Linked DNA regions of Arabidopsis thaliana. The protein of the gene in region 3 interacts with the protein of the main gene of each other region in a pairwise test. Each region holds a gene or a part of one and is shown on either strand. Other genes may lie near its edges. The genes, in order: ULT1, AT3G24490, PIL1 and PIF7.

Region 1 (7,826 bases), on a different chromosome or scaffold from region 3:
GAAATAAACCTGCCAATGCGTATAAGTTATTAAGTTTAATGAAGTCTATCGGTCAGGATCATGATTTACCAGGGTTTATGCTAGAGGAAGCTCTTTTGTCGTATCTTTGAAAAATGGTGCAAAGTCCAAAACAGGATTACATTAAATGTATTATTTTATGGGGATACAAAACCCCTTGATTCATGCAACGAGGTTTGAATATAAGCAGAGTAGAAAATAAGATATGTTTAGAGGAATTCACTACCTATTTGTCGACACACTAGTTGTCTTTTGTGAGATGATGATGTCATGTATAATCTTGTGTTGTTTATTTGCAGATGGATGTGTGTAAAAGAGAGATATCGGTGTTGATGCCTGGAGAAGATGTCCCAACGTTCATTGCTCAGCCATGTCCTCCCTCATCATCATCAAGCTCTTTCTGAAACCTTCTTTCATCTCATTAAGTAGGACTTTTTATCAGACAAGTGTTTATGTAGTCAAGTGTTGTTAAACAGAACAGTGTTTCTCTGTTTGTGTCTGCTTATCCCATAGCAAAAGAGCAGCAATCTCCATAAAATAAAAAGCCATGGAATTTGTGAGCGTTGTTGCGTAGGCTTGCCTTTTACTTTACGAGTCCACAATAAACAAACCAAAAACGAAGATCCGCATAAGATTTGGTTAATAATTATACATTCCGCAATTTACAAATCAAAAAAAGGGAAAGAAAAAAAACAATCAATCACATCAGAGTTAATAATGATGAAAGGAGAAGAGATCATCAGAGAAAGATGAAGCATTCCATGGACACTTCAGGGTCTCTCACAGCTGTTACATCTTCTTCCTTCTTTACCTCAGCAGTTACTTTCTCCGTTTCTTCTTCCTTCTTCTTCACCTCTGTTGCTCCGTCTTTCTCCGGAGCTCCTACTCGTTTCTTCATGGGGCTTCTTCTTGCAGAACTCGGGGCACGAGTGGCTGGAGACTGTGAGCGACGCCTCGGATTATCCGATAACCCGCTCCGTGGGAGTGGACCCGAATCCACATTTCGCCGGTTGTGAGTAGGGTTTGGTTGACGAGACTGTCTCTCTCGGACTAACCTAGGACGGAGCTGCTTCCCCTGAGGAGAATGTCGTTCTGCCGGAGATCTGAGGACTCTGTCAGGCCTGTTACGGCGAGAGGTGGAAGAAGAAGGAGGAGGAGGACGGTGAGGTTTGCTGAGAGCATCGTCTTCGAGGATGGACGCAGCGGTAGCAGTTGTGGCAGTGGAGTAGCTGTGAGAGACAGAGACGCTGCAAATGTCGGACTTGCTGTGAGAGATCTCCGGAGCTGGAGGTGAGAGAGGAAGAGGAACTTGAGCTTCTGAATCTGAGACTGTTGGTGCGGAAGGAACGAGGTCGGGGACTGGGACAGGGACGGAGATGGGTATGGGGACGGAGACAGAGACTGATTGAACAACGACTTCTTTGACGGATTCTTCTTCGAGGGGTGGAGGAATTTGAGCGGCGGCGACTGGTGGAGCTGTGACTTTTCCGGCGCTGAAGCAGCATCCCATTTTCTTTCTACTTTTGCTAATTCCTCTCTCTCTCTCACTCTGCTCTCTCGAGAGTCGCGAGTCATATACTTGTCAACTTTAATGGGCCTCTTTCTCATGTTGGCCCATATTCACTATGGGCTCGATTATGCTCTTTTGTTTTATCCACTTTGATAAAGAATCTGATATTTGTCTCATTCATTCATATCTTCAAAGACAAAACGCTAGTGTTTGATTTTCTTTAAAATATTCAAAAGAAAATTATGCGGATGGACAAATATCTCGTTAGATAGCGACCCATCATCGTTGGGATAATTTCAACACACAACTGCCGATTGCCTTGGACAGGGACACCGGACATGTAACGACAGTAAGTAAAATGCTTAATACTTATACTACCAACATCTTCCTTTTGGTCGTCAAAAATGTAGTTGAAGATAAGAACTGACCATCATTTTTTAGCTCATCATCCATCCACTATGTTGCATTTACCTCATTGTTGAATAAGAACGCGTTGAGCAAGCTACTTTTTCATCTTTAGTTGGTTTTGTGTTAAATAAAACTTGAAGTGGAAAGAACCTAACATCGTTGCTGCAAACTTGATATTCGAATATTTATAACCACCATCTTAAAAACAAAAACAAAATATGAGAAGTTTAAAAACATGACAAAACTTTGAGTAGAAATCAGAAAGGGGCCAAGGCTCGTAAACTTCTAAACCCCAAGCCCATAATAAATGTTTTGAATCCATAAGTTCACTCCCATCCGCTACTCTTTTTTTCAGTTTCTTGGGAACAACTAGGAGGAAAGAGAGTTTTTAAAGTTCAAAGTAAAGATGTTGTTATACAAAAATTGTGTTGACAACTTATTCATATTCATGTCTCTGTAAAGATGTTGACATAATTATTTCACTTTCTTCAAAAAAAAAAACTGGCGACATTTTCTTTAATTCTCATTTATCCATTATGTACTTTTTGTTTTTGTTTTGCAACCCATCCATTGTGTATGTACTTAAGATAACAACAACAACAAATATACCATATATAAATCATATGGTCTACATACAACACTAGTATCCTCATCCGTATTAAAAAAATGAGTTCCTCGAACACATATAGCTACAAATATAGAGATATGACTTTGGGGTTTGAGCGCATTGCAGAATACCTAACAGGCATAGATGTCAATGACGTCGTCGTCATGTACTTGGTTACTAGTTGTTTTATAGACAACTAGTTGATTAAACCTTTTCTTTTAACAATTAAACAAACCAACCTTTATATATTTCTTCAACTTTTATTTTATATAAAAAAATAGCCAATAGGTGTGGTGGTGAAATGACTCGGTAACCAATGAATCCTGGTGAAAGGGAAGAGCCAAGAATTTGCAGAACCTCAAAGGAAAAAAAAAGGACCTTTGAAAATTACAAAATCAAGAACTTCTTGAAAAGAAGTAAGTACAAGAAATAGAAAAAGGAGTTATGACATTATAAAACCAAAGAGGAACCTGAAACAATTGACACAACCCTATTCCTCAACTTCTTCTCTCTTATGTCTTATCAAAAGCCTCTCACCCACCGCCTCTGTTCCTGCTCCTCTTATCAACCATAGAAATTCTCTCTCTCTTCCCTATATACAATACAATGTTATGTAGGTGATACATACTATAACATAGTTGTATATAAACATTAATATAATGGAGAGGTCCCATGCCCCCACGAGTTTTGTTTTGTTGGCCAGCTAATTCGCATCCTTTTTGTTTTGTTTGTATAAGAGAGTTTCTTTGTTACTTACTATAACCACAAGACCACAAGAAGGCCAAAGAGAGGCTAAACTAAAAGAGCTCTCTTTCTAATTTATTTCTCTCTCTTCTCTTCTCCCGAAAAGCCCTTAATAAGCTTTTGCTTTGATATCAGATCTCTCTTACGGCTTTTGAGATGCGTGCTCCTTTAGGGCTTTCCTTTTATACCCCAAAACGAGGCCTTTCCTTCTTCTCTCATCTCCTAATTCTACCCTCTTCCTCTTCCTCTTCCTTCTCTCTCTCTTCTCATTCTCCTCATACGCTATAAGGAGAAAATCTCAGAGAGAGAGTGATGGCGAACAATGAGGGAGAGATGCAATGTGGGTCCATGTTGTTTAAGCAAGAGGAGCTACAAGAGATGAGTGGGGTCAATGTTGGTGGCGATTACGTTGAGGTCATGTGTGGTTGTACCAGTCACCGATACGGCGATGCTGTTGCTAGACTTAGGGTTTTCCCCACCGGTGACCTTGAAATCACCTGCGAATGCACACCTGGTTGCGATGAAGGTCTCTCTTTTTTTGTCTCTACTGTCTCTTTCTCGTGTCTTTCTGATGCTTTTGGGAAAATGGGTTTTGATTTGTGTGCATGTTACATGTGAATGTGTGTGAGATTAAACGTTTGTCTCTGTCTAGCTACTATCACATTGGGCTGGTAAAGCTAGGGTCTTTAGCATGATTACATATTTATCAATGAGTCTTAGTGTATGCTAGCTAGATCCGTTCTTGTAGAAAATGAAATGACTTGATTTGCCACAGTAATGTTTTAGGCTGTCTGTTTATCTGTAAATGGTAATGCGTCTCTTTGTTACTGGCCAAGTGGTAGCTTTATTGACAAATGATATGTCTCGCTTAGCTGTACGTGTATGTCAAAGTTTGATGCAACCTAGTTCTTGTGGTATCTTGTAGCTAACAATTCCATCTCTAGCTTATTTGGTATAGATGCTCATTTAGAGCTCTCTTTGAAAGTAAAAGTGACTGACTTGAACAGTTTTGATTGTATGATGCTAGACAAGTTGACACCAGCTGCATTCGAGAAGCATTCTGGAAGAGAAACGGCAAGGAAGTGGAAAAACAATGTGTGGGTTATCATTGGGGGCGAAAAGGTTCCATTGTCAAAGACAGTATTGCTCAAGTACTACAATGAATCATCAAAGAAGTGCAGTAGATCAAACAGATCACAAGGTGCCAAAGTTTGCCATAGAGATGAGTTTGTTGGGTGTAACGATTGTGGTAAAGAGAGGAGGTTCAGGCTGAGGAGCAGAGACGAATGCCGCTTGCACCACAATGCAATGGGTGATCCAAACTGGAAATGCTCAGATTTCCCATACGACAAGTAGGTGTCTTTTGTTGTCCTTGTATGTACTTAAGTTTGATGCAAATGATGTATTATATCAATGAATGGTGTGGTGGTCGTAGGATAACATGTGAGGAGGAAGAAGAGAGAGGGAGCAGGAAGGTGTACAGAGGGTGCACACGTTCACCTAGTTGCAAAGGCTGCACTTCCTGCGTCTGTTTTGGCTGCGAGTTATGCCGTTTCTCTGAGTGTACTTGCCAGACTTGTGTCGACTTCACCAGCAATGTCAAAGCTTGAAGAAGGCAGTCCATTAAGAAAAGAAAAAAAAATGTCTGTCTCAGACTTTGTTCGTTGCATTTAATAACTTATTCTAAAACTCCAAACAGTTAATTATCTTATCTATGGGTTGTGAATGGAGCAATTGAAAAAAAAGTAGAAAAAGTTGATTTCCAAGAAGAACATGCAGACGAGCATGCCTGAGTTTAGTGCATGTCTAGATTTTTGGCTAGTGGCAGGGAAAAGTGTTATTAATAGTTTGTTGTTACTCTTTATTTTATTAGCTGTTGACAGCTTTGTGAGACGAAGTTGTCAATGGCACAGCTACTCGGTCTGTGATTTAGCCATTTAGGAGATGGGACATGGAAAGAGACATTTTCTTAATACCCAAAAAGCCCTGACGTCTTGTTTTGAACACAGTAACCATATGGGATCCCTTAAGTGATGTATACTTTTATTATCAACAACAAACATTAGAATCATAAAGACCAAGTCGTCACCAGGTAAAGAGGATACGAGAATAAATTCATCAGAAACATGTGAAACATGTGAAACGTGAAACCAAAGACGTAGAGGCATGTATGAACTTCAACATGTTTTTGTATCAAAAAAGTGTTTTAGAGTATAACTAGACTCATAAAGTAGTACATCGACTCCTGTTCTGTTACAACCAAAATTCATATCTTAAGGATCACATAACTGAAACCTGCATCCACAAATACGAGGCAAACATAGTGTTTCCTTCATCATACATACTAGACTACCTATAAATCAGAGATCAAACTATGAAATCCGCGGATTCATTCAGAGTCTTTCTCGCACGCCAATACACTCCATTGGCTGTCTCTGATGTTCCCAGCTGCAATAAACATCAGAAAGATTGTCAGTTAGCATACTTGACACTAAGTCATAGTATTGGTTTTGGTCAGGGTATTAAGAATCCACTTTACCTTTGTCTCCAATGAGTAGTAATTCTTCCACAGCTCCACGTCTTGACCGTAACTTGCAACAGCAGAATCATACAGCTTCCGGGCATTACTGAGACCATCTTTATCACCTACTGATATGAGGTTGGTCTCTATTTCAATGCAACCTTTGTATAGAACAAGACTGGGACCAGGAAGAGCCAAGAACCTGCAGTTTTACGGTAACAGTGGTGAGAATAAAGTCCATGTGTGACTCAAGGGACTGGAGGAGTAGTGACTCACCTCTTGTATATCTTCCTCGCACTGTGGGCCCCTTTTGTTTCAAGAACAAATTTCACCACTGTGGAAGCAAGAGAAAACACATGGTCGCTCCCATGGCTTTTGGTTGCTGATAGGATGGACATCTCTACAAGTTTGTCCAAATAAGTTCGCTGATGAGCAAAGAAATTAAAAGCCTGCAATACAATAAGCATTTTATTAGTGTAGTCTTAACAAACTAGTGTATTGTCTAGAAAATATATTAGTCACATACCATTAGCCACAAGCTCTCAGATTCTGAGATCGGTACTTTCCTCAAAGCATTTGAAAGGAGCTCAAAGACTGTCTGAAAATCTGCTTTACTAGGAGATGAGTTCTCTGAAAGTGATCTTATTTCAATGGAAACTCTTGAAAGCCACAACTTAGCTGATCCAGCAAATTTTTCAGAGCAGAGCTTTTCTGCTAGCTTCTGAGCTTCATGAGTCTTTTCCAGTTTCAAGTACAGAGAAACATATTCATCAGCAAGCTCTTCAGTCAAACAGCCAGTTTCATCAGCCTTTTGGTACACGTTTATGATATGTGAAATGATCGGATTAGACAAAGAGGAGATTTCATTCTCGTCGCCGTTTGACTGTACAATAGCCTCCATCAGAAAATTTATATAAATCTCAAACATAGAACTTGACGTAACAGTTTGCAAGCCTTCTTCAAAAACCTGCATTCAGGGGACAAGATTTAAGACCTATCAGATATTGTACTTTCTAGTTTCTACTACTAAGCCGAAACAGATTGTGGTAAAGCAAGTTAGTATAGTCCTAAAGAAAAGCCCCCCCATAACCAATGTTCCACCTGTCCTCTCCGACATTATTAAACTAGGCAATTTGACTTCAGGTTCAAACCAAAAAGAGTGAGCGTAAAATCAAGACTAAAGATTTGATCTATGTTAAGGAAATGCAGCACAACTATGGCCGCCACATTCTTTAACAGATTTCAGCATTTAATAAATTTCTAACCCCTAGTCATAAGTTAAGATTTGTTTACCTGAATAGCCTTTTGCATTTGAGGATTTGCAAACTCTAGGCCTGCCTCATTGCTAATACAACCACTCATTTCATGTCTTGCAAGCCAATTCCAGTATTCAGGTTCATTGCAAAAATCACGCTTCAGGTCACTTAGAATGGTATTGCGCATTTCATCTGAATGCGCTAAGTCTGTTGCCTCTAGAATCTCCAAAAAACGCTTCCTCAAGTCAAAACTAGATGGAATAGCCTCAACGGCTCCACTATAGATGGTCTGAAGAACATTGGACCCTTTCTCTTTTAAGAAATCAACTTTCTCAGTCACATCCTCAACATCTTCGACAATAGAGTCCTCGTCATTCTCTTCTTTTTCATTTCCTTCTTTCTCATCTAGCGACATAAATAACTCTTTGTTCTCATCTTTCCATTGCTCATCCTCAACGGTTTTCGTGTCACGCACCAAACTTCCTTTATCTTCACCAAGGGCAACTTTACGAGCTTTCAGCTTATTTAGAAAAGTAAGTTCCATTCGCAGATACTCAACCCACAGGTCTTCAGAGTTTGAACACACTCTCAGCCCATTCAGCATAAGAGCACGAGCTGCTGTAACATTCAAGTTTCTATCAAATTCCCAAGATGCAGCATATATCCACACTCCAGCCACTTTTGGATGAAACCTTATTGCTTGAGCCAATGCCTACACATGTTTCAGATAATATAAACGCAATTAAACATCGACATATACCC
Region 2 (7,487 bases), on a different chromosome or scaffold from region 3:
AAACATATTCGACTGATTACGGTGATGATTGTTCATGTACTGTTTTGGGAATATATGTGTGATGTCTCTGATTATCTACCAGCTTTTCATTAGGTGGTGAGATGCGCAAGCTCGCAATCTTTCGAAACATATTGATGCCAACGATCTTTAGTAAACATTTTGTGAGTTCAACATCCACGTATAATAACCTGAATGATTAATGCCTATTAGCCTAGTTTTACCCTAATAATAATATCTACTTTCTAATGTATATTACTAAACATTTATCAAATTCTATAGCACTAGCATTATCATTTCACGGGCAGAAACTTTGGCAAGGAGCAGCACTAAACAATTAAGTCAGCAGATTTATGATTTCATAAAAGATATGTAGAAGTATAACACTGTTTTAAAAACCCAAAACACTATTATAAAACCCATACATTTTCGAATCTTTTATTCATTCTACAAACCCATACACTATTATAAAGCATGGATACAAATAATTTGATAACCGACTCCATTAAGGTTTATAATAAATTATAAGAATTTCGCGACACCTAACAGCCTAACTACCAGGTTTTATAAAAATCATTAGAAGGAGGACCAAACGAATCGCTTTAGTAATCAAAAGATTAGTTGTCTAATTAAGTTTGCTTTTGGAGCTTTTTCTTAGTTATTGCCGCAATGAAGCACACCGTGTGGGGACGTTTTGACACATCAGGTAATGTTCTCATAGACCAGCGGGATGTTCGAGGCTTTTAGGTCGCCGACATGTGTCGATTTTTGGATAGTCGAATTTAATAGTATATTACTTTAACGAAACAAATATGTAGAAAAATAACCATATGCTTTTTACTTTTGCATAATCACTTCTGTTCAAATTTACTTGGTATCCATGGTACATCATCATGTAAAACATTCGTTATGAAGTTTTTAAATAAAGTTATGTTAATGATTCGTGCCAAAAGGAGCACATTTCGCCAATAGCCAAAAAGAATTGTAAGAACCGAATTACAATAGAGTATTTGAATTTGTATTTTTAAGAAGTCATATGTTTTTTATGTTGAAAAACAATGTGAAGGAATTGAAGTCATCTAGAGTGAGTCGAGACGTATATTAAACATTCAAACTAGTTTAAGAAGTATGTATAACTCGTCCTATACACACAAGTTTTGTATCCTGACACTTTTTCTTGTGGGCCAAAAGGTCCCATAAATAATGCAAACTTCACTAATTCACGAGATCGTGTCTCCATATGAAGGAATTATACAAGTATTCAGATCTTGTTACAGTGTAAAATATTGAAAAAGGTGAAAGTGTTGCACTAAAAATCAGCCGTTGATGATTGATGAAGGAGCTTAGTATGGAGGATCTAGAGTGAACCATGCAAACATATACATATTTTTGATTATTTTATTAGATTTGTACGTATTGTATATAAATTTGGAAATTATGCATAATATGCATAGTATTCTTTTCCGTGGAGAAACATATAGATTTCTCACCTGAGCTTATATGAAAGTAACCACTATTTTTCTCATCACAAATCTCGCAACACTTCTTAATATGCTAGTAAAACTATAATGATCTAACGATTGGTACTGTTTTATTCTTTTTAAATTTTAAACCAACTGCTATTTTTAATACTCAAACATTCACTTTCTTAAAAACCAAGTGCTTCTAATTACTCTTAAAACCTAAATTATACATTTGAATCTAGGTTATCACTTCTCTTGTTAAATCAACAATGCTATGCGGTTAAATTTTGTCATGAATTTTTGATTTAAATAATAGAACGAGGTGATCAACATTTTCATCTGTTACCGGCTTCGTCTATATGAGGAGGCCAAGTGAAAGAAGTTATAATAACTAGGTAGGTCGCATGGTAAGTTTCCCATGAAGTCTTCAACGTCTTTTGTCCACTTGATTGTGCGCTAAATACTGTGTGAACATTCATTCATTATCTTAAGAACCCAAATGCTTTTAATTACTATTTAAACATAATTTGTACATTTGAATATAGGTTATCGAGTTTCTCTTGTTGAGCCAACAATGCAACATCTTTATTTCTGCCATTTTCAATTTAAAGAAAATGAATAAAATAAAATTAAGTATTTTGTTATTATATGCTTAGTCTTGTTAATGTAATTATAAGGAAGATAATGTTCCTTAATAGACTAGATGTGATTCATGAGAACCATGCACAAGAATTCAAAAACCCTAGAAGATTCGATGGTAAATGACGGATCAATTAGCAAAATATTCATGTACATTTACTATAACGCTATTGTATCTCTAGGATTATCGGGTTCTTGTAATGGATGATACACCACAAACCTTTTCTATATTTGTAATGCATTATGATTGACAAAAAAATAGTGTTCCTTGATTTTTTTTCTTTTTTTTGTGTGTGCATCAAGTGTTACTTGTTAATTCATTATTCATTTCATTATGTTTCTCATACACTCTAGCCATCTCTGTTTTTTTCACCAACTAATCATACAATTTTATAAATTTGGCGATTTTTTTAAAAAATAAAGACTCTATAGTCTATTTTTGATAATTGTATGTAACATTATGTACTATGAAAATATCATGCAATTGTGAAGATGACAAGGTTGTCATATCTTCTTATGAGGTAAGAAATTATTTCTTAGAGTATATGATCATTTGCTATTAGTTGTATTTTCTATCCTTCTATAGATATGTGAACTTCATTCTCTAGTTGAGTATGTATCAGAGTTACTTTTACCTTCCAGTACTAATGAATCTGGAAGCTCACACAGAATAAAAGTTCTTGCGTAGAGAAATACAAAATCTTAGTGCTTAGATGAACATTTGACCAGTGAGGTGAAGCAGACCACTATGGTTGAGATCATCTACTAGCAACCAGACCATCCAAAATCTCTTTTCTTCTAACCAAGAGACCAAGTCAGTGTCCCATCAAATTTGTTTTTTAATTTTTATTTTGGTTAAATATCAAATCCTTTATAACCAATTTCTCTTTTCTTCTCCATCCAATAAGTCTTTTCTATTTGGAATCTCATGTAAATCAAAGTGCTTTACAACTTTTTGGCAAACATTTTATCTTTAACACTAGACCAAAAACTTCCTCATTAATTAACTAAACTATATATATTATTGGCAATAGAGCATCCTGCTTTCGTAGGAATCCCCTTACCAAAAAAATCACCGAAGATACTTTTGGACTATATATTTGTCAAATCAATAAATAAAAATAAATAAAAGATTAAGAAATAAATGCTCAAAGCCTCAAAGTAAAGACAAAAGACAAAAAATTGGTGAAAGCAACATAGTTGGCATTGGAGTGAGCGAACGTAACCACTCATAACGCGTTTGAAAGAGATTGTTGTCAAAGACTTGAGAAACTTCGTAACGGTTTTATGATCACTCATTGACTCTCTCTCTCCGTTACACTTATGTTCTCGACGCGACCTTCCAACCATAAAATACTAATTTCATTTTTATTTTCACTTCATCGATATCTTGTGACATGTAATATGATTGGCTTATCAAAAATCTTTCATACGAATTTTCAAGTTTGTTCACATCTCTCTCCCAAGATATCCGTTTAGGAGCCTAGGACCGTTACTTCACTTTATTATTTTCATGTGGAGGAACTGTAATATATATCACAATTTTGTTGTTCTTGTTGATTGTGTAAATAGTAGTACTGGATACTAAAGAACAATGAGTATGTATCTCAAATATTTAGCTCAACCGTTTTATAAAAATACTATATTATTACCTTAAAATTGTTTGTTGCTTTATCAGTATTAGGTAATTATGAGATGTCACTGTTTAATCTATTTAAACGTTTTATGAGTTACATTAATGAAAAAAATCTGAAAAGTTAAAATTATACGAATACATACCTGTCTGACTCTACCTACTGAATTTTGTAAAACAATTTGTTATATTTTATAAGAAAGTTGATGTTGTAGTGTTTACTGTCTCATAAAAAACAATCTCTATTTATTTGATTTGAGACTTGAAATTTTTAAAGCTTGTTTTAAACTATACTGTTTTTCTTATAAAAAAATTGTATTAATTTTTTTTATAAATGAAACTGTTAAAAAAAATTGAAAATTTAGAGATCAAAACTAAACCTTTATAATCATTGAAATATATTGGTACATCTACCCACAAAACAGGTCAATCGTCTAGGTTTAATTATAATTAAGCCTAACATGTTAATGAGATTCAAACGAAATTAAAGTCCACAATGCCAACTCAACTCAAGTATCAAATCTTTTTCTTCTTTTTTTACTTAGCAGGAATACCAAACTCAAGTATCAAATCTTTTAAAATTTATTTTTTACTTATGTCAATGTGGGAATGACCGAGTTACTTAAGAGTTATGATTAATATTAATTCTTGTTTCTAACCAATTCATATATCATTGTCTTGGAAGCTTCTTCATATCAATGACTCAACTCTTAATTTTTTTCGAAAATCTGTTCTTACAAGGTCACACAATTCAATTTTTTTTTTGTATTGTAAATGTTTATCTCGTTATATTTACACTAACGAGATTTAAACACCTAAAATCAAATTGTACGAGACTAGTGTTAGTTATTCAATAGTATGATGCATTGATGCAACAAAATTCGTTGCGATTATTTATGATCCTTATCACTACCATGATCATTTCCATTAAGGTTATACTTACTTCCTTTTTGATGCATAATAATTACTCACCAACATTGAAGCGTGGTCGACATTTTCATTGGCAATAAGCATAACATTCATTTATTTATATTAAAACACAGAAACAAACAATTATTAAATAAAGAGTTCTGGCATTTCTCTATTTTAGTCCACTTAATTTAATACTATCATCTTCAAACAAGATTTCATCATTAATAATTTAAAAAATTATACGTTACATAGTGTATTAAATGAATTATCGTTGGGATACACTTTCACATTTTTCAAAAACGTATGAATCATAATGTGACACATGGAGATTTCCCACAACCGAGGCTCCCATAGTAGATGCTTATGCAATTCATATTCTTGCAGCTTAAACTCTTGCAAGTTCAGTAATAACACCGTGATATGAAAAATAAAACTTAGCCCTTTTTAATTTTTGAACTTATTCAGATTAATTAAAAGCATACGTAGCATATTTAAGAATATAAAGCAGAGAATCAAAATAACATATTGTTTCAATGGCACCCATTTTAGCTAGTCGATCAGTAACTGCATTCGCAGATCTTCGAACCCACCAAAAATCGACAGCTTCAAATCCTTTGAGCCAATATGACGCTAAAGGTCAAAATATTATGACCCTAAATGTCAGAAATTGACCCCATAAGTCATAAGTTAACCGACACCAAAGCTGATATTCGTTAGAGTTTAGACTCTCCTTTTCTTAATGATCGTTAGTTTTAGTTGGGAACTCTTGGGCTATCGGTTAAAATTAAATAATTGTGGTCCTCTTGGCCCATTAGTGCTGTCCAAACTGGCCCAATATGACCCAGTGGATGGTCCCAACAAACGCCGCGACAAAACTCCGTCGCTGGCTGAGGCAATGTTCACCGGTGGTGGTAGCTTTTCTTCTACTCCGACCCGGCTGAAAATGCAAATCCCTAACCCTAGACACGGCCATGGTTTATAAACCTCATCAATTTCTTCTACTTATCTCTTCTCAAAGCTAAACCCTCCAAGATATTCCTCTATTAGGTGCAAAAATCAGGTAAATCTCTATCTGTCCGATTTGAAACCCTAGATCTGCCTTTCTTCTCTCTTCTTTTGCTTTTCTGGGTTTTGCTCAAAGATGGGTGACAGCGAAGATGAAACAGGATACCCAAAAAAGTTTTACTCTTTGAATCGGCAAAACCATCCAATGTATAGTAGACCAATACCTAAGCGTCACGCGTATTACAATGAAGAAGAAGACGAAGATGAAGTCGAAGGAGAAGAGGAAGATCCACAAGGAGGATACATTCGTGGAAATGAGAGGTTTCAGAAGAGACAGAAACCAAACAAAGTAGTTTCTGGGTTTGAATTTGCTGGTCCTAGTGATGCTAAAGTTGCGTATGATTGGAGAGAGCAAGAAGCTTTTGTGTTGCTTGAAGTTTGGGGAGATAGGTTTTTGCAATTGGGTAGAAGGAGTTTGAGGAACGAGGATTGGAATGAAGTAGCTGAGAAAGTGAGTGAGGAGCTAAGGATGGAGAAATCTGAGACGCAATGTAGGAGAATGATTGATGACTTGAAGAGGAAGTATAGAAAAGAGAAGATTAAGGTTGAGAAATCAGGTTTAGGTTCAAGTAAATGGTCGTTTTTCAATAAGTTGGATATGTTGCTTTGTGTTTCGCCCAAGTCGGATTTAGGTTTAGCTTGTGGTGTTGATTCAGGTGAGTTTGTGTTTATGAACACTAAGGTTTATTTAGATAAGTCTAATGGGTTTGATGAGATGATGGATAGTCCTGGTGATTCTGAAGAGGAGGAGGATGAGGATGATGAGGTTGAGTACGAGAGGAAGAAGGTTAATGACGCTGCTTCGTATAAGATGTTGGCGGATTCTGTTGAGAGGTTTGGGAAGGTTTATGAGAAGATGGAGAAGAGTAAGAAAGAGCAAATGAAGGAGTTGGAGAAGATGAGAGCTGATTTTCAGAGAGATTTGGAGTTGCAGAAGAAGCAGATTGTTGATAGAGCTCAGAGTGAGATTGCTAGGTTACGTGAAGAGGAGGAGAATCATCATGGTGGTGGTGATGATGATGAGAGTGAAGATGAAGAAATGGAGAATGATTCTGATGTTAATCTCAGTGATGAGTAAGTTATAAACTATGTAGGTTTGTGTTGTTTGTAGATGCAACAAAATATGTTCTGTTTTTTTTTTTGGTTTTAGGGAATTCAGAACTTAAGTCTTATAAGTTTTGTAATTTGTGTTTGGTCTTTGCAACTTTAGTCGAGGTTATTTGCAGTTTATCTTGAAACTTAAATTAATGCATAAACATATTTCCTTCTTAATATACTGTTTGTGAGTATTTCTCTTGACCAATCTCATGAACATACATATATTATATACCATAGCTAAACCGACAGATACATATATAATCTTGTTATAATCGAGGAAACAATTTTTTGATATATAAGCATTTTTTAAGAGGAATAAACATCAGAGAAGCAAAAGACTTAACGAGCTTCAGATAGTGTTATGTCATAGCCATTTATTTGGGAACACAGTAAGAGGATTTGATCTCATGCCATAAGCAAAACAAAGTGTCGTAGTCATCTTCGCCAATGGGGGCATTGTTGTGGGCGACTCGAGAAATACCCACCAATGACTTGAGCCAGTCTTCATGCAGACTTGAGAACTCAGATCTTAGCTCACTTGACTTGAAGTTTTCCCCAATTGATCTCTTCATGGCTTGAGCAGCACCTGATGCTGTTTCAACCACTTGGTTTGGTATTCCAGCCATGAGTGCCACTTGAAGTCCGTAGCTCTCAGGACAAGCTCCCTCGGTTAAACGGTA
Region 3 (8,067 bases):
CAAGATTCCGAGAAGATCGTCTCCATAATCTGACTTTGACTGTAGTCTCGAACTTATAATTCTCTTAATTGAGTTATCCATTTTCCTCTCCAGCTTCCATACCCGAATGTTCGAAGGCGTAGGAAGGTACCTTAGAATACAAGAAACAAGACCAATATATGTCAAAACCTAAGAATCTTGTTTGAGAACTGAAAGTAGGAGAATGATTAACTTACTGAGTTCCAGGGATAGAGACTTGGTTGAGAGAAGTTGTATAACACCTTTTAAGCTCCATTTGTGATCTAAACACTTCGATTCCTTCGACGTAACTGCTTCCAAACGCAGAGGTTGCTATTATATCAGCTGTTAGTCTTTGGAACTCTTCGTTCATTTCCTTTTTAATCTTCGGGTGCTCTGTTTCTTCCTTAGTGCTCTCTTTTCTCCACTCCTCTAACATCTTGAGCGTACAATCAACCATCACGGTCGTCATGATCTGATCAACAAAATGAGAAATTTACAACCAAAATTAAGTTATTCGGCTCTAATGTTTAATTTCTCAAGTCAAGCTAAGAAAGAAGGATTAAAATACCTTGAGCCTATCGATGGAGAAAGCAGGGTTCAAGATTCTTCTATGGCGAACCCAATCAGCACCTTCGATAAAGACAAGTCCTTTGGAGCCGACAAGTTTAACAGCCTCAGGTCTTGCCTTTGATTTGACAAAGAAACCTAACTTGTTCGACAACATAGTTTTTGCAAGTTCAGGATCTGAGATGCATATCCTTGGCTCTGTTCCGTTCCAGTAAAGAAAAGTCTCTCCTAATAATATATAACATAGATAACTTGTGTGTTACGCATTATCCTCGAATAAAATCTAAAATAAAAGATGAACAAAGAGAGAGTTGGAGAAAACGACACCGTATTGAGACATCCATTTTTGATAATGAGGAAGAATACGAGGGAAAATATCATTGGAGCTAGGATCAAGAATCGAAAGATGAGATTCTCTCTTCATCTTCTTTATCTCGCTGAGGTTTCCGTAAAAGATTCTGTAATTTGGGCCTGAGATTCCTTGGTTTTTGAGTCTTCTGGTCAACACAAATGGATGCCAAACAAGAATCATAAAAGCTTTGAATATCCTGAGACCAATAATAAGGATTAAGACAATTAGTGCCAAGAAAATTACGAGCCCCATGGAAAAGTTTTTTTTTCCTTATGTTTGTGTGTGTGTATTGTTGTTCTTGGTTAGGTGTTTTAAGTTCTACACTATATAATGACATGCACATATAACTTTGTAAAATAAGTCTATGGCCAGTGAATGAAACACTATCTAAACACTACATGAAGTTAGCACAAACACGTCTGTTTATTTTCAATTTGAGAACAAACAAAAAGTAATTAATAAAGTAAAATGTGTCTTATATATGGTATGATGATAGAGTAGATTCTAAATATGCCTATAGCACATATTTGTTACGTAATAAGACAATTATAGAAAGTATATAAAAAATGAGTGGATAAAAGAAAAATATAAAATTACTCATGAAAGCTAAGTAATCCTTTTGGGAGAATAATTTAGTTTTAGCATTCATTGTATCTTAGGTTTACTGTTTCTGTATCTTTAAAATAATCCGGCATGGACAATGAATCAATGATTTGTTGTTAACATATCATTGTGAACAAAATACTTGATGAACTAATTGTTTGGAGAGTTAATTTGGTATTTGAATTCAAACGAAAATGTTATAGAAATAGAAGTACAACATTGTGAAAATAAATAAACAAAGATGAGAGATATTTATCAACCAACGGTGCAATGTGATGGATCGTGACATCGAATCTTAAAATGAAACACTTTTTCGTTTGTTATCTACTTTTGCATGGTTTCATATTTAAAGGAAGTGGTTGAAATTTTATTTCTATACTAAAAGAATTGGTTTAGACTTAACTATCCACTTTCTTTAAGTATCATGTTAACTCATGAAATAAGAGTCATCTATTTTTAAAAGAGAATCTTCACATTGATTTCAAGTTTTCAACGCACCTGACGCTAAAATATCAGAAATTCAATGTGTGAGTCTCATCTTCATCACACTATTGCACTCCCTTGTTTTCGTGTTTGAAAAAGCCCAATTAATTTTTTAATGTTTGAAAAAAGAAAGAATAAAGTAGATATTAGTCCACTAAAAAGCCCATCAAGCCCAAGTTTTGTAGTACTTTACTCAATCTCATCATTGAGATTGTTCCTTAATCCCAAAAACATGGCAAAATTCGTTTCAAATTACGATTTAGGTCAAATGAGTTGTCTTCATCTTAGTTGGGTTTGCGTTAAAATCGGTTTATCGTAATTGAACACTCATCATCATCCATCATTATGCAATTGCACGTCCTCTACTTATAACTTTGTTATAGAGTCTATGATAACTTATATTTGTTATATTTTACTTTGTACATCCACTTTGAAAATAGTTGGAATTAAGTTCAAATCGTTCCAAGAATCAAGGCCCAAAAGCCCATAGACTAACAACACAGAGTAGACGATCATTTTTTTTTGCTTAAAGTTAGTTAGTTGGAGAAAACATCAACTTTCTACAAATCATTAGTTTGGCGAGCGATAATAACTAAAACCGTTGCTTCCTCTATATTGCATTGCATCTTCTAAGTTTGAGGCGGACGCAGACTTTGGGAATTGAGTAAAAGAAGTAGCCTGAGTCTGAGAAACACACGAAGGCACCACGAATGGCTGAGAGCAATTTTCCAATGGAGAAAAGATAGGAGTGTTTGGAATTAGTCCACTTGGGTGATTAAGAAAGCTTAGCATTTGTGGTGGTGCATTGTTCATCCCCGGAAAACCGGTTGCTTGAACATTCATAGGCAGGAATTGCGGTATTGATGTTGGTGTTGCTGCTGCACCCATATGCATTCCTAGACCCATGGGAGAGTAATGACCCATTGGCAACATCGTAGGTGGTCTTATTAATCCATTTCCCATACTCATCATCTGTAAATAATTATTAGAGCATGTTAATTAAGAATCTTATATATATGTAAAAAAATTTGTAGTAAAATAAATAAGGAATAAACTTTTGATTGTTTATTGATTAGTGTTTAATTACGTTTATAATTTGTTTTGGTTTCTCTTATGAAACTAGTTTCTAGTGACTTTATCAAGAATCATTCGTAAAGGTAAAAGCCAAACGCAATAATATTTGATAACAAAAACACTTTACAAAGTATATTTTAATGTTAAAAAACAAATTTATATGTAAATATAAACACAAGTCTGTGTTTAAATAATTAACACCTGAATCATTTTATTATCTCTCAATGAAATTTTATTGAATTGGTGTATTATTTTGAATACCTGAACTTGAAGTTGAAGGGTCCGCATATATTTGATAGCCTCATCCAACAATGAAGCCTTATCATCCTATCATCAACAATTACAGATATTCAGAAATCTCCACAAAGAGAAAATTAATTAACTCTCTAAGACTAAGTAAACAATGTAATGTGATTTAAGTTAATCTCAAACCTTGTAACAATTTGGTAGTAGGTCCTGCAAAGCACGCATTTTCTTGTTGAATTCATCTCTTCGTTTCTGTTAACAAATCCTTAATTAGCATTAATTTTCATACATTATTTTTTTTCTACTAACTAAGGTGAAATTTTCATACATATAAACTCACTCTTTCATATAACTTATGGACTTCTGTGCTTCGTTTTCTTTTAGTCACCGGCTTTCTTGTTCTCGCATGAACTTGTGTCTTCGCATCATCTGATTCATCATCTGAATTCTGCATAAGCAATAAGAAAAAGACAATTAATGATCTACCATGTGAAAGAACTAAGACAAGCAGCTAATTAATTTCTCTTACATTACTTAAATAGGTTGATTCTTCTTCTTCAATATCTCCATACTTCCTCTTTAAAGAACAACAACTTAGATCTCTCGAAGTTCCTCGAGAAAACTTCGATGAAGAAGCAAAATACAATTCCGTGGATCTACCAACAGCTGCAGATTGCTCATCAGGAGGAGCTGTAGTAACTTCAACATTCTTTGGACCTTTAGCAGAAACATCAATTAATGTTGATGATTCAACACATTTGTTGCTTTTCGAAACATTTCTCTCAAATTCGATTTTGGAGGACTTTAGCTTCTTCTTATTGTTGTTCATTTGTTCATTGGTTTCTTTATCTTGTTGTGGCTTAGACTGACTCACCGGAACAACTTGTGTGTCTCCAAGAATCTTGATGTTTTTCTTGAAACCCTCGCTGTACTCGGTCTCATACAAATCCAGGAGAGATTGCCTACGTTGCTTTTGAAAAGAACCGTTGTTCTTTGGTCTTCGAATCTTTGCAAGAATCTGCCCATTTTCACACACCAGCTCCATATAATCTTCATCTTTTAATCTGCAAGAAAAGAGTCACGTATAAATAACCTATTAACAAAAAAAAAATAGTCAGGAGAAGACAAAATTGTTTCAAGCACCGACAGAACCATAAGCGCCCATTATTTCAAAACCACGCATGTGTATATGTTTATAGAAGTCGCAAAAAGTGTAGATGAAACCATAATAAACTTACTTTGGTTTAATGTTTGATGATGGAGAAATCATGTTTGGTTCAGATGATGATGATGCTAAGGGTTTTGCTTCCATTGAAGTAAACTGAACAAAGCTTTCTTTACTTGTCTTTTTTTTTTTCCGGTTTTTGTGAATTGTAGAATCAGAGAGATTCGGACTTCACACTTTGGTTTTCTTTCTTGGGGTTAATGAAGAGCAGCATATATATATATATATAGTCGGTTGTATATATGTATATTCGCTTATTTCATTTATGATTGATTGATATGGAGGATTTGTTTTGGTCCACAACTCATATATTTATCCTTGAATCGTGATTATGACACAGTATGGAGAATTAGTACAAATTATTACCTTACAAACTTTGGTCGACTTCAAATGTTACATTTCAGATTTATAAAATTTACAGTTGCTTTTTTTTAATACAAAACGTATATATTTGTTTGTATATGTGAAATGAGTTTTCGCACGTTTTATAGAAAAAATATAATCATAAATTCATAATAACATAGACTATACTATATATACGCGATAAAGAGTAGTATAAGTATTCATGTTAATGTGTAAATCTTTCATTTTAAAACAAAAATATTGATGGAATAAATGAAAGAAGCAAGATAATGTATGGGCGATAGTGAAAGACAAAGAAATAGAGAGAGAGACATTCTTATGACCGACTTCTCTACTCTCCACCGCTCCATTTTTCTCTGCTTTCGGAAAAAGAATAGAAAAATTAAATAAAAATAAAGTCAAATCTACGATTGCAATTCCTTTTTTTTTTTTTTGTCTTCATCTAAAATGAGAAAATATTAAGCATGATCATTTTTTTAACGTCTGATCCGTGAATTTTACTTGAGCACAGTCAGATATATATATACATATATTTATATATGGTTTTGTGTATTTCCTTTTTATTTAAAAGGTCAGGAAAACACAATGTAGTAAATAGGAAAACACAAAAAAAATCACTCCCGATGATGCTCCAACAATAATGCAACTAGTATTGATTTTTTCGTCATGCAAATTCCTATAAGAACGTGTTCTTAGAAAGTTTAGGAATAAATTCCAAACTATGCAATGACAAAGCGTCCAACTGAACTTACTAAATAATCTCCAGTATTGGAACACACTATTTCTATATTATGTTCGTGTGTTATTTTTTTTATTGAAGATAAAAGTATTATCAATAAGTAATACGCATGTTCAATTGTTCACAATTAAAAAAGAAAGGTCAAAACTTAGGTAGACCGAAAAAAAATCAATAATGTTGTTATCAAAAATAAAACAAAACACTAGTAAAACTGTAGTGAGTGACATGCGAGAGAGACGGGCACAAAAGGCCCACGTGAGCGGAAAGAACCTTCACGCCATTATTAAGACATATATGGATGGGCCCTTTCTTAAAGGCTTTAGTTTTCTCTTTAAATGGGACCCACAATTAGGCTTTTTTTGGCCAAGTTCACGTGCACTTCACGTGAATGCCGCGTGATTCATCCACCCCTTTGTGTTATTTTGTCTCCCTCCCTTCTTTCTTGTTTGTTTCTAACGACTGCTACTATCTTGTCGTCTTCTCCATTTTTACCCTCTCGACACATTCTAAATTCTTTTACCGACCGTAAAAAAAGAATCCTCTGTGATTTGAGATCTCTCTATTTACAAACAAAATTATCTCTACCATGTTTTTATCATCACAGTAAAATTGTTGGGTCCAACATTTTATTTTCTGTTTCATTCGATTGATATCGAATTGTGACCATTCTTTGTTCAGTTTGGTTTTGATATTCAATATGAAATACATCTCTGTTAAAGTAAAATATTGTAATTAAAATTCACATCAACGTCTGCAAAATATTCTGGTTTTTAAAAGAAAAATGTTTGGATTGGTTTTGCTTCGATATATATCAAGATATCAATAACCTAATTAAAAGTTGTTGGTTTAATAAAAAATATCTGCAGTTGCTGGCAAAAATAAATTAAAAAGAAACCTTCAAACTGCTATATAAAATAAGGCTCTATGATATAAGTAGTTTTGTAGTGGTTCAGTGAACAATAAACTATTCTATACGAATACGAATCAATGACAATGAGTCAAAGCATCATCTACTATATCTTCTTTATTCGCCTGAACTCATGAGACCACTAAACCAAAGGCTGGTTTTGCTTGAGAGGTTTTTCTTTCCTGGTTAACACAGTTCGTCTAGTTTATGTTTTAAAATGGAGAATAACGACGTACGTGTGGTTGATTGATTCTGTGAGACTCAGTGTCAATCATCCCTCAAACATTCTGCGACAATCATCTTCAGCTGCAGCATCTTTCCTCTCGCAGACTGTAAACCAATACGTCATTTTTAAGTTGTGCTTTTGAATTCATGATTTAACCATTTTTAGAATCTGACTCTTAAGAAGCAGAACAATGACTTGCCTTGTTTACAGAATCGATTCTTTTGGTCGCATCGTCCAGTTTTGTCTCGATGCCTCCTTCAAAATGTGCAATGAGTTTTTGGTGTGATGTTCCTGTCATAGAGAGATAAAAAGTTATCAAGTGAGTTTAGGAAATACTTGTCCTCCTGCTATTATTATATTAAAACTATCTTGCCATGAAGAATCTAACTTTGATAACATCATATGTTTCAAGTATTTCTAGTGTTAGAATTCGTTGTAGTAAAAGCAGGAATTACAGAAGTTAACATACTTTGCTTCTTTATGCTTCCTTTCAGCTCTGACTGGTTTGCTTCAAGCTCTTCGATAGTACTCTTAAAATCTTCAAGATGATGGCTGACATCGTCCTTGAACTTTTCATGGATCATTCTCATTTTCTCTTCTTGCTCTGTTAGACGATTAGATATTATCAGTGAACACAATAGATCAGAACGGATCTTGCATATTTTTATTCAATGAGTGGAAATATGGAGACATTTCCAGACTCTCATGTTCCACAACAATACACAGCTCAATTTTTTATTATTCTCCACATAGGAATGAATTGAGCATTTAGCTTTGTCTTGATATAACTATGTTAAATGCAAGTTTCATGTCTATGTTAGAGCCGAAAGTATAGTTAGGTGTGTGTGTGTGTCTAATCAAAGAGACATGAAAGCACAAGAATGAAGCAAGATGGTGAGTACTTCAAGACTAAATGCAATCTAAAGAGTAATACTTGATATCAAATTTCCGATCTACTACCTTGAATCAGGATTAAACTGCAAAGATAGTATATTTGAACTTCTAAGCTTTCTTAATGTTCATGACTGTGAATTCGAGTACAGTATTAACTATTAAGATATAATGTGTTGATGTACCTTGTAATCTTGTTTCGGCATGCTTTCTCTTAGTTTTGGCTAGGTTACTTGTCTTTCCCCTGTACCATAATTAACAAGATCTTTGATTGATAATTTAAAAGAAAGAATGCAGAATAAATTATACAAACATACGCTTCTGTTATGATATGGGACTTGATATTCTCCAACTCCAGATGTATCTCCTCGGAGACTGATGCTATAATTTC
Region 4 (7,536 bases), on a different chromosome or scaffold from region 3:
GAAATCAAGAGGTCAAGGACCAAAAAATCCAATCTGGTTATACCTAATACCCAAGTAAAGAGGTTAAGCAAATCATATACACAAGAGGTGAAAATTGGAGGTAATAATTAATCTAAGTGGTTACTACCATTTTTGTAATCATACTTGGCTTATATATTGAAATAAAAACACATGTATCGTAATAGATATGTTTTTCTTCCCCCAGAGGAGAGTTTCAGAAAAAAATTGTTGGAGTATCCATCAGAAAACCGTCGGCCACAAGAGATTGGCTCATCCTCCGGAACATCAGGACTTGCTTCAGCGTCAAGTAAAGCAGATTCTTGGGAAAAATCTCAAATCAAGAAAATAAGATTAAGGTCAAAATTCATTCTTAGTTATTAATATTAAAAGTATATATAATACCATTACTTATTATAATTATCTGGAAAATAAACTCTACTTGAAGGTATGAGAAAATGAAAGCTGATATTGTGGGTTGGGAGAATGAGAGAAAATTAGCAGCTACACTGTTAATGGAGAAAAGAAAGGTTATTTCATTATCTAGTGAATAAACATTTTTTTTTAATGCATATAATTCAGACGACTAGCTAATATATTATTTTGTTTTATAAAGAGTGAATTGGAGAAGAGAAAAGGGATTAATAATCAGCATTATAAGTCAAAATTAGCAAGGATTCAACTAATAGCTGATGGAGCCAAGAAACAGCTTGAGGAGAAGAGAAGGAGCAAAGAAGCTCAAGTTCATGGAAAAGTAAAGAAAATGAGTCGAACAGGGAAAGTTCCTAATAATTATTTCTGCTTTCGGTGTTACTAAAATCAAAATTACTTATATCAATGAAACTATATTTGTATGTGTTAAACTCAAATCATAAATAAAGAGTAAGTACCTATAATTATAAATTTTGGTAGATATCATCACCATGGATAATATTGCAGTTTTCAATTGTCTCTCAACCTAATTCCCTATTTTCTTTTCTTTTCTAAAGATCTGTCTAATTCTTAAGCTTTAATTGTTATGTCAAATATCATAATAAAATGGAGTTATACTCCATAAAAATCAAATATTGATGTGATAGTCGATGTTTACACACGCTCTCGACCATATTTCACACATGAAATGTATCATATTATAGACGAGTAAACACCAAAAAGGGACCATAAAGGATTTTGATAGATCGTTAAACTCAATTTGTGATATGCTCTCAAAAGGAAAATGAGGCATTCTTTGGTCCAACCAAGTTACTCTCTTACCCGAAGTTTCTTTCTCCATTGGTACGTAGCAACACCTATGTGGTGGCCAGGACCATTCACATTTACTATCCTCTCTTCTTATTAGGAAAATTTGTAATATATATTGTCGTTGTACAAGTCTCAATCAATAGAATTTCGACGATTTAAATTTTATTCACCAACTATTGATGTGTGTCCTTTCAATTTATGATGCAAAGAGTAAGTTCACCGATCCTATGCCATGGATACGCGTTGCGTGACCTTGTAATGAATTCAAATGTTATATACATTTATAAACATAATACATTCTATATAACTTTCTCATAGTTACCTAGTTAAAAGTAGAACTCACTTAACTTGATAAATATGATGTTTTCTTCTTATATAAAAGCTATCTTTCTCACTTTGTTAAACTCGTGTGTTCTTGAAAGACTTAAGAAAAATAGAAACTTGAAATGAAAGAACACATGAATAGTTAACAAGTACGAATCCTTAAAATAAATCCTAAAAATTCTTCGGAAGATCCACTGATTAAACTTTGCTCAATCAAGCTTTCAATCTCTTCACTTTTTATCTACCTCTTTATCTCTCACACGTACGCACACATACATGAACACATGCATGTCCTCTGCTTTTATATTACAAAAGTGACGACTTTAGGATTCTAGCTAAAACTTGTTATGATAAATTGAAACCATATTAATATTCTTTAATTTTGATAAGTAACAATTGTTTTTCGGGTTTGTGTTGAGTTGCATAGGCAAATTTGTAAAGTCTCACGGAAAACTACGAGTGTTAATTGAAAGAGTACATTCAAATATCAAAAGAACATTGACAGTGACATTTAATTTTAATTTGTAGTTTAATGTATTTTTTATTTATTTATTTTTTAGTTTTATGTAAATCTATAACATCATTTGGTCAATACAGTCATTACCATCAACTAGTGATCAAAGAATAAGTTATCATAAATCAAATGATTAGCAGAAAACAATTGATGTGAAGAATCTAATTCGTATAAAAGAGAGTTTGAACATCAAAGAAAAAAAAAAGCTTGAAATTGAACAGATAACTCTGAGGAGCGTTAGGATTCGCTGTCAAGAATCTAATGCGAGAAGTTGATTGGCTGAATTTCACAGATCAACACTGGGTCCCAAAAAACCATCCAATAAGATCTTTCCACGTGTCATTATGACGACATCAGTTTTGAAGCTGTCGGCCGTAACTCGAGAGCGGAGTGGGTGAAATCACTTAAGATTTTGATGTGACATCAAATGATTGGGAAAGAAAATCTCACAATACAAAGGGGTTGATCCGTATTTATCCATTTCTCTGTACTTTATAGTTTTCGTATTCTTTTCTTCTGACTCAACATCACATATTTCATTCATATCAACTTGTTGTTCCACTACAAACAAGGCTTATAAGCCTCAACTTATGGTTGCAAGTTGTAACCAATCTGATACAAAAGTACTGAACCAATGATTGAAAAAGTCGTCTATTTTTACCTATTTACGTACAAAACTACCTAGACGGCTATGTATTAGGTAATCTCTGGACCAGTGCACATGAGGTCCTATAAGAAATTTAATAAGTGATGCTCCATTTTGAAGAGTACATATAAAAATATCTTAGATAGCAATATAAACACTAACTACAGTAAGAAATCAAAATTTGAAAAACATAATATGTCATTTTAAGAAACAAGTAAGAACAATCTTTGCTTCAATTATTCATGGAAATCAATGAGATATCTCTTTGAGAAATCTAAAAAACTTCTTCTTATTCTTGTTCTTCTTTCTCCCATGGTAGACTAGAAACTTTCTTCCCATACATTACTTTTTGTAAAATGAACTTCTTAAAAATGCTTTTCTTTTTTTTTTACTTTTTAAAAATGTTTTTATGGTGATCATATGAACAAGTCATTTGATATATTGTGAGATGGGAATGGACAGAGAAAAATTAAAGAAGTGATTAAAAGAGGCTGAGAAGTGAGAACATATTGATTGATTCCTAGCAACTTGCATCAAATATCTCTAGTTGATGCATCAACCTCACATCTCACTCTCATTTTTGACATTCGAATACCATACTATAGTTTCGGATTCTTACGTGTTTACTCCAATAAATATATCTTGTTTTCTATTCTTTAATGCGTCTACATATATGTATATATTTCAACTACGTTTATTATACTGTATAACGATAAAAATTTACATTTTTAAATAATAATAATAAATTCTATTATTAGAAATGTGTTTGTTTCTAAATCGGTGAATCACACGCTTTGCTTTGCTATGCTTTCTACCGAGTAGTCAAATGCATGCAATAACACATTCATGTCAATGTGAGTCGGTTGTGAAGAAATGACGAAAATGCCCTCATTTTATTAGTTTTTTTTTTCCTTAAGCAGGAGAGATGATTCTGGACTTGAGTGGCAAAACACAAACAATCCTTTGCCACACATGTGCTTCGTCCACATAAAAACCATTTGACGTTTTGCAGGGACCATTTTTGAGAAAGAGGAGACAAGAAGAGAGAGAGAGAGAGGCCTCTTTATTATAACTTTCAATATGGATCAAAGGCAGATACACCGCATGAGTTGTCGCTGTGATTGTCAAGAGTTTGAACACACAAAGAAGAAAGAAGAACTCAACATTTCAAGCAAGAAGAAAGAGAGAAGAGAGAAGGTCCAATAATAGAGAGAACAAAAAAAAAGAGAGCTTAATTGTCAGTTTATTCTCTGCAAACGTGCGGCCTAAGTAACACATGTATCTCTCTCTGTTTCTGATAAAGAACTCTTCTCTGTTTACACCAAAAAGAGACAAAACCTTACGCTTCTGTCCTTTTTTGTTTATCTCTCTCTCTCTCTTAAGTCTTAACACAAAACCAATTTCTTTTTTTTCGTGACTCAGGTCGAATTATGGAGTTAAAGAGCTCACATGGGAAAATGGGCAACTAACCGTTCATGGTCTAGGCGACGAAGTAGAACCAACCACCTCGAATAACCCTATTTGGACTCAAAGTCTCAACGGTTGTGAGACTTTGGAGTCTGTGGTTCATCAAGCGGCTCTACAGCAGCCAAGCAAGTTTCAGCTGCAGAGTCCGAATGGTCCAAACCACAATTATGAGAGCAAGGATGGATCTTGTTCAAGAAAACGCGGTTATCCTCAAGAAATGGACCGATGGTTCGCTGTTCAAGAGGAGAGCCATAGAGTTGGCCACAGCGTCACTGCAAGTGCGAGTGGTACCAATATGTCTTGGGCGTCTTTTGAATCCGGTCGGAGCTTGAAGACAGCTAGAACCGGAGACAGAGACTATTTCCGCTCTGGATCGGTAACAACTAACAAAATTACTCTTCCTTTTTTTCCTGAAAGATGACTGGAGAAATAACCAAAAGAGGACTTTAATAGGAAACTCAAGATACTGAAGGAGATGAACAAGAGACAAGAGGAGAAGCAGGTAGATCTAATGGACGACGGGGACGAGCAGCAGCGATTCACAACGAGTCCGAAAGGGTAAAAACTAATCCATCTTTTCTCTTTCCGTGATTACCAAACTACTGACTCTGAGTTTTGATGCAGAGACGGCGTGATAGGATAAACCAGAGGATGAGAACACTTCAGAAGCTGCTTCCTACTGCAAGTAAGGTAAATGTCTATCCTAGAAGAACCCACTTTTAAGTTTAAGAACTTTGTTTATATTGATATCGGTCAGTTTAAACGCGTTATTCGGATATTGCAGGCGGATAAAGTCTCAATCTTGGATGATGTTATCGAACACTTGAAACAGCTACAAGCACAAGTACAGTTCATGAGCCTAAGAGCCAACTTGCCACAACAAATGATGATTCCGCAACTACCTCCACCACAGTCAGTTCTCAGCATCCAACACCAACAACAACAACAACAACAGCAGCAGCAGCAGCAACAACAGCAGCAACAGTTTCAGATGTCGTTGCTTGCAACAATGGCAAGAATGGGAATGGGAGGTGGTGGAAATGGTTATGGAGGTTTAGTTCCTCCTCCTCCTCCTCCACCAATGATGGTCCCTCCTATGGGTAACAGAGACTGCACCAACGGTTCTTCAGCCACATTATCTGATCCATACAGCGCCTTTTTCGCACAGGTAAGACCGCTTTTAACTGTTTTCGAGAAAAGTGTTCAAAGATATACAAATCTTGAGCTCACTTCCATTGGCCATGCTGATGCAGACAATGAATATGGATCTCTACAATAAAATGGCAGCAGCTATCTATAGACAACAGTCTGATCAAACAACAAAGGTAAATATCGGCATGCCTTCAAGTTCTTCGAATCATGAGAAAAGAGATTAGTCTAGCGACCTAGTATTATTGATCCATATATATAGTTCTTGAAAGATTGTTGTATCATGATTGTAAAAACTGTTTTGAGTATGGAAAAAGACTTGCAGATAAAACTTGAAAGCTTCACAACTGAATTCAGTAACTGTCAAAGTACATTACTAAACCCTTTGCTATTTCGAGGACAGTAACAAGAAAATTATCTCTTGGTCGCTCTTGAAGTTTAAAATCTTCAATGTTAATAGATCATATGCACAAATAAACTTTTGTCTTTTTTTCTTTCTTTCATTGTTCGGAGACCAAAGGTCTAACCTTAGAAGCAGATGTTGTGGCCTTGCTCTGAGGTTTGTGAGATGTCTTATTAGTGTCCTGAAGAGAGATAACAGTTTCAAAAGCACCAATAAGAGCTTTCACTTTGTGCTTCCTCACCTTTGTTAGCTTATTCACTGTCTCCTCAATCACATTGTTAAACAATGTTATCATTTTCTTCTTCCCTTCTACTTTTCGATGCCTCAGAACAACTTTCTCACGTTTACTTCCTTCACAAGAATCTGTTTTCGTCTCAACACCCAATCTTCTATCTTTAAGATTCTTCTTCTTCCCTTCGGATTGCGTTTTCAGTTCCTGCACCACCCTCTTTTTGAACTTGATCCATCTCGGAGAAGAATCCTCGGGTTTAGGATCAAGAACCTTTCCTTTCTTGAAAGTCATCTGCTGAGCTAGACTCACCTTTACTCCTGTCTTCTTAGGCCTAACCTTCTTCTCCGGTTTTGGATTTGCTTCAACAACGTCTGCAGAGCCAGTTTCTTTCTTCTTAGTCAAACCGGTACTGATTTTACCAGGAATCTGTTTTGTAGGACTAGAACCACGTTTAGGAGTAGTACTCAAGCTTTTATTCCCACTTTTCATGGTTTTCTTCTCAGATGATGGTTGCTTTTCACTCTTAACACCTTTGACGCTAGATTCAACAACACACACAGTCTTTTCTTTTACATCTTCACCGCTAATTGTCTGAGTCGTCTTTGCCTTCTCCACATTCTTCAGATTCTTTGGAGCACAAACCTTAGAACTTCCAACGCCCGTAGAAGTACTTGACTTATCAGTTCTCAAGGCAGGAACCTTCTTAACAACAGCTGAACCACTCAGACCACTCTCGGTTTCTTTATTCTTCCGCGCTCTATCATTGCTTTTAACGCTTAAACCATCAACAGATTTCGCTATCTCACTACCTTCTTTGGAGCTAGATTCTGAATTCACAGAAGCACATGGTTTTTTCTTCACAGCCAAGGCATCTCTCTTTGCAGAAACAGAACTATCCGGTTTGGTTATACCTGGACTCTGTCTACTCACACTCCCCAATGACTTCCTTGTCGAACTTGGTGTCTCAACTTTGATCACAACTGAACCTTCAACACTCTTTCTCCTTGCAATCTTCCACGGCTTCACAGCATCATCTTGATCACATTTCTTCCCATGTTTACATAAATCATGAGTCGAACCCACACGATGATTCCCACGATAACGGGACTGAACCTGCGGTTTACTTATCGTTCCAGTCGAATGGCGTCTCAAAGTCCCACCTTGAGGCTTAGGCACTTCAATAATCTCTGGTATAATCTCTTCTTGATCCTTGGCTACCACAGCTATAACATCTTCCACATTTTCCACATCCTTTACACGTACTGTTTCCAAAGAGCCTTCTTCAGACATCTTCGGAGGGTTTGTATCGGAAGAATTCTCAATATCTTTGACCTCTGAAGTATTCTCTTCAGCCATTGACAAAATAAACCTGTAGAGGAAACAGAGTGCATTACCAAAAAGATCTCGACGTTTATGAACAGAGCATATTAGAACAATTTAATGGATTCTAAACTGATTCTTTGTCTTTTATTACCTATTCACTAATCAGATTCTAGAATTTGACATCATAAAGAACAAATCTTTAGACAAAAATCTACCAAAGATGACTCAATACATTCAAA

The links.
Region 1: the proteins of PIL1 (region 3) and ULT1 interact in a two-hybrid assay, tested with the Arabidopsis thaliana proteins (one large-scale study listed by BioGRID).
Region 2: the proteins of PIL1 (region 3) and AT3G24490 interact in a two-hybrid assay, tested with the Arabidopsis thaliana proteins (one large-scale study listed by BioGRID).
Region 4: the proteins of PIL1 (region 3) and PIF7 interact in a two-hybrid assay, tested with the Arabidopsis thaliana proteins (one large-scale study listed by BioGRID).

Annotation. Positions count from the first base shown.
Region 1 is NC_003075.7:13,982,154-13,989,979, forward strand, and holds ULT1 (Developmental regulator, ULTRAPETALA), read left to right. Parts: upstream 1-2,869; 5' UTR 2,870-3,599; coding exon 3,600-3,886; intron 3,887-4,294; coding exon 4,295-4,639; intron 4,640-4,722; coding exon 4,723-4,897; 3' UTR 4,898-5,289; downstream 5,290-7,826. Other genes in the region: AT4G28170 (uncharacterized protein), read left to right, coding at 318-422; AT4G28180 (uncharacterized protein), read right to left, coding at 758-1,528; AT4G28200 (U3 small nucleolar RNA-associated-like protein), read right to left, coding at 5,655-5,735, 5,827-6,010, 6,085-6,257, 6,335-6,775, 7,102-7,776. UniProt on the Arabidopsis thaliana protein: Putative transcription factor that acts as a key negative regulator of cell accumulation in shoot and floral meristems. Negatively regulates the size of the WUSCHEL (WUS)-expressing organizing center in inflorescence meristems.
Region 2 is NC_003074.8:8,905,237-8,912,723, forward strand, and holds AT3G24490 (Alcohol dehydrogenase transcription factor Myb/SANT-like family protein), read left to right. Parts: upstream 1-5,185; 5' UTR 5,186-5,785; coding exon 5,786-6,787; 3' UTR 6,788-6,987; downstream 6,988-7,487. Other genes in the region: MSH7 (MUTS homolog 7), read right to left, coding at 7,182-7,487.
Region 3 is NC_003071.7:19,293,042-19,301,108, forward strand, and holds PIL1 (phytochrome interacting factor 3-like 1), read right to left. Parts: upstream 4,818-8,067; 5' UTR 4,638-4,817; coding exon 4,564-4,637; intron 4,497-4,563; exon of another isoform or gene 4,481-4,496; coding exon of another isoform or gene 4,473-4,480; exon of another isoform or gene 4,390-4,472; coding exon 3,855-4,389; intron 3,774-3,854; coding exon 3,666-3,773; intron 3,578-3,665; coding exon 3,512-3,577; intron 3,407-3,511; coding exon 3,341-3,406; intron 2,978-3,340; coding exon 2,576-2,977; 3' UTR 2,390-2,575; downstream 1-2,389. Other genes in the region: CYP709B1 (cytochrome P450, family 709, subfamily B, polypeptide 1), read right to left, coding at 1-130, 216-472, 569-795, 895-1,171; ASY3 (asynaptic protein), read right to left, coding at 6,827-6,889, 6,985-7,076, 7,255-7,389, 7,862-7,920, 7,994-8,067. UniProt on the Arabidopsis thaliana protein: Transcription factor. Involved in responses to transient and long-term shade. Required for the light-mediated inhibition of hypocotyl elongation. Necessary for rapid light-induced expression of the photomorphogenesis- and circadian-related gene APRR9.
Region 4 is NC_003076.8:24,636,903-24,644,438, reverse strand, and holds PIF7 (phytochrome-interacting factor7), read left to right. Parts: upstream 1-3,673; 5' UTR 3,674-3,999; coding exon 4,000-4,001; exon of another isoform or gene 4,002-4,145; coding exon 4,146-4,566; intron 4,567-4,643; coding exon 4,644-4,748; intron 4,749-4,814; coding exon 4,815-4,880; intron 4,881-4,974; coding exon 4,975-5,358; intron 5,359-5,443; coding exon 5,444-5,566; 3' UTR 5,567-5,839; downstream 5,840-7,536. Other genes in the region: AT5G61280 (Remorin family protein), read left to right, coding at 1-100, 206-356, 446-527, 614-814; AT5G61260 (Plant calmodulin-binding protein-like protein), read right to left, coding at 5,840-7,330.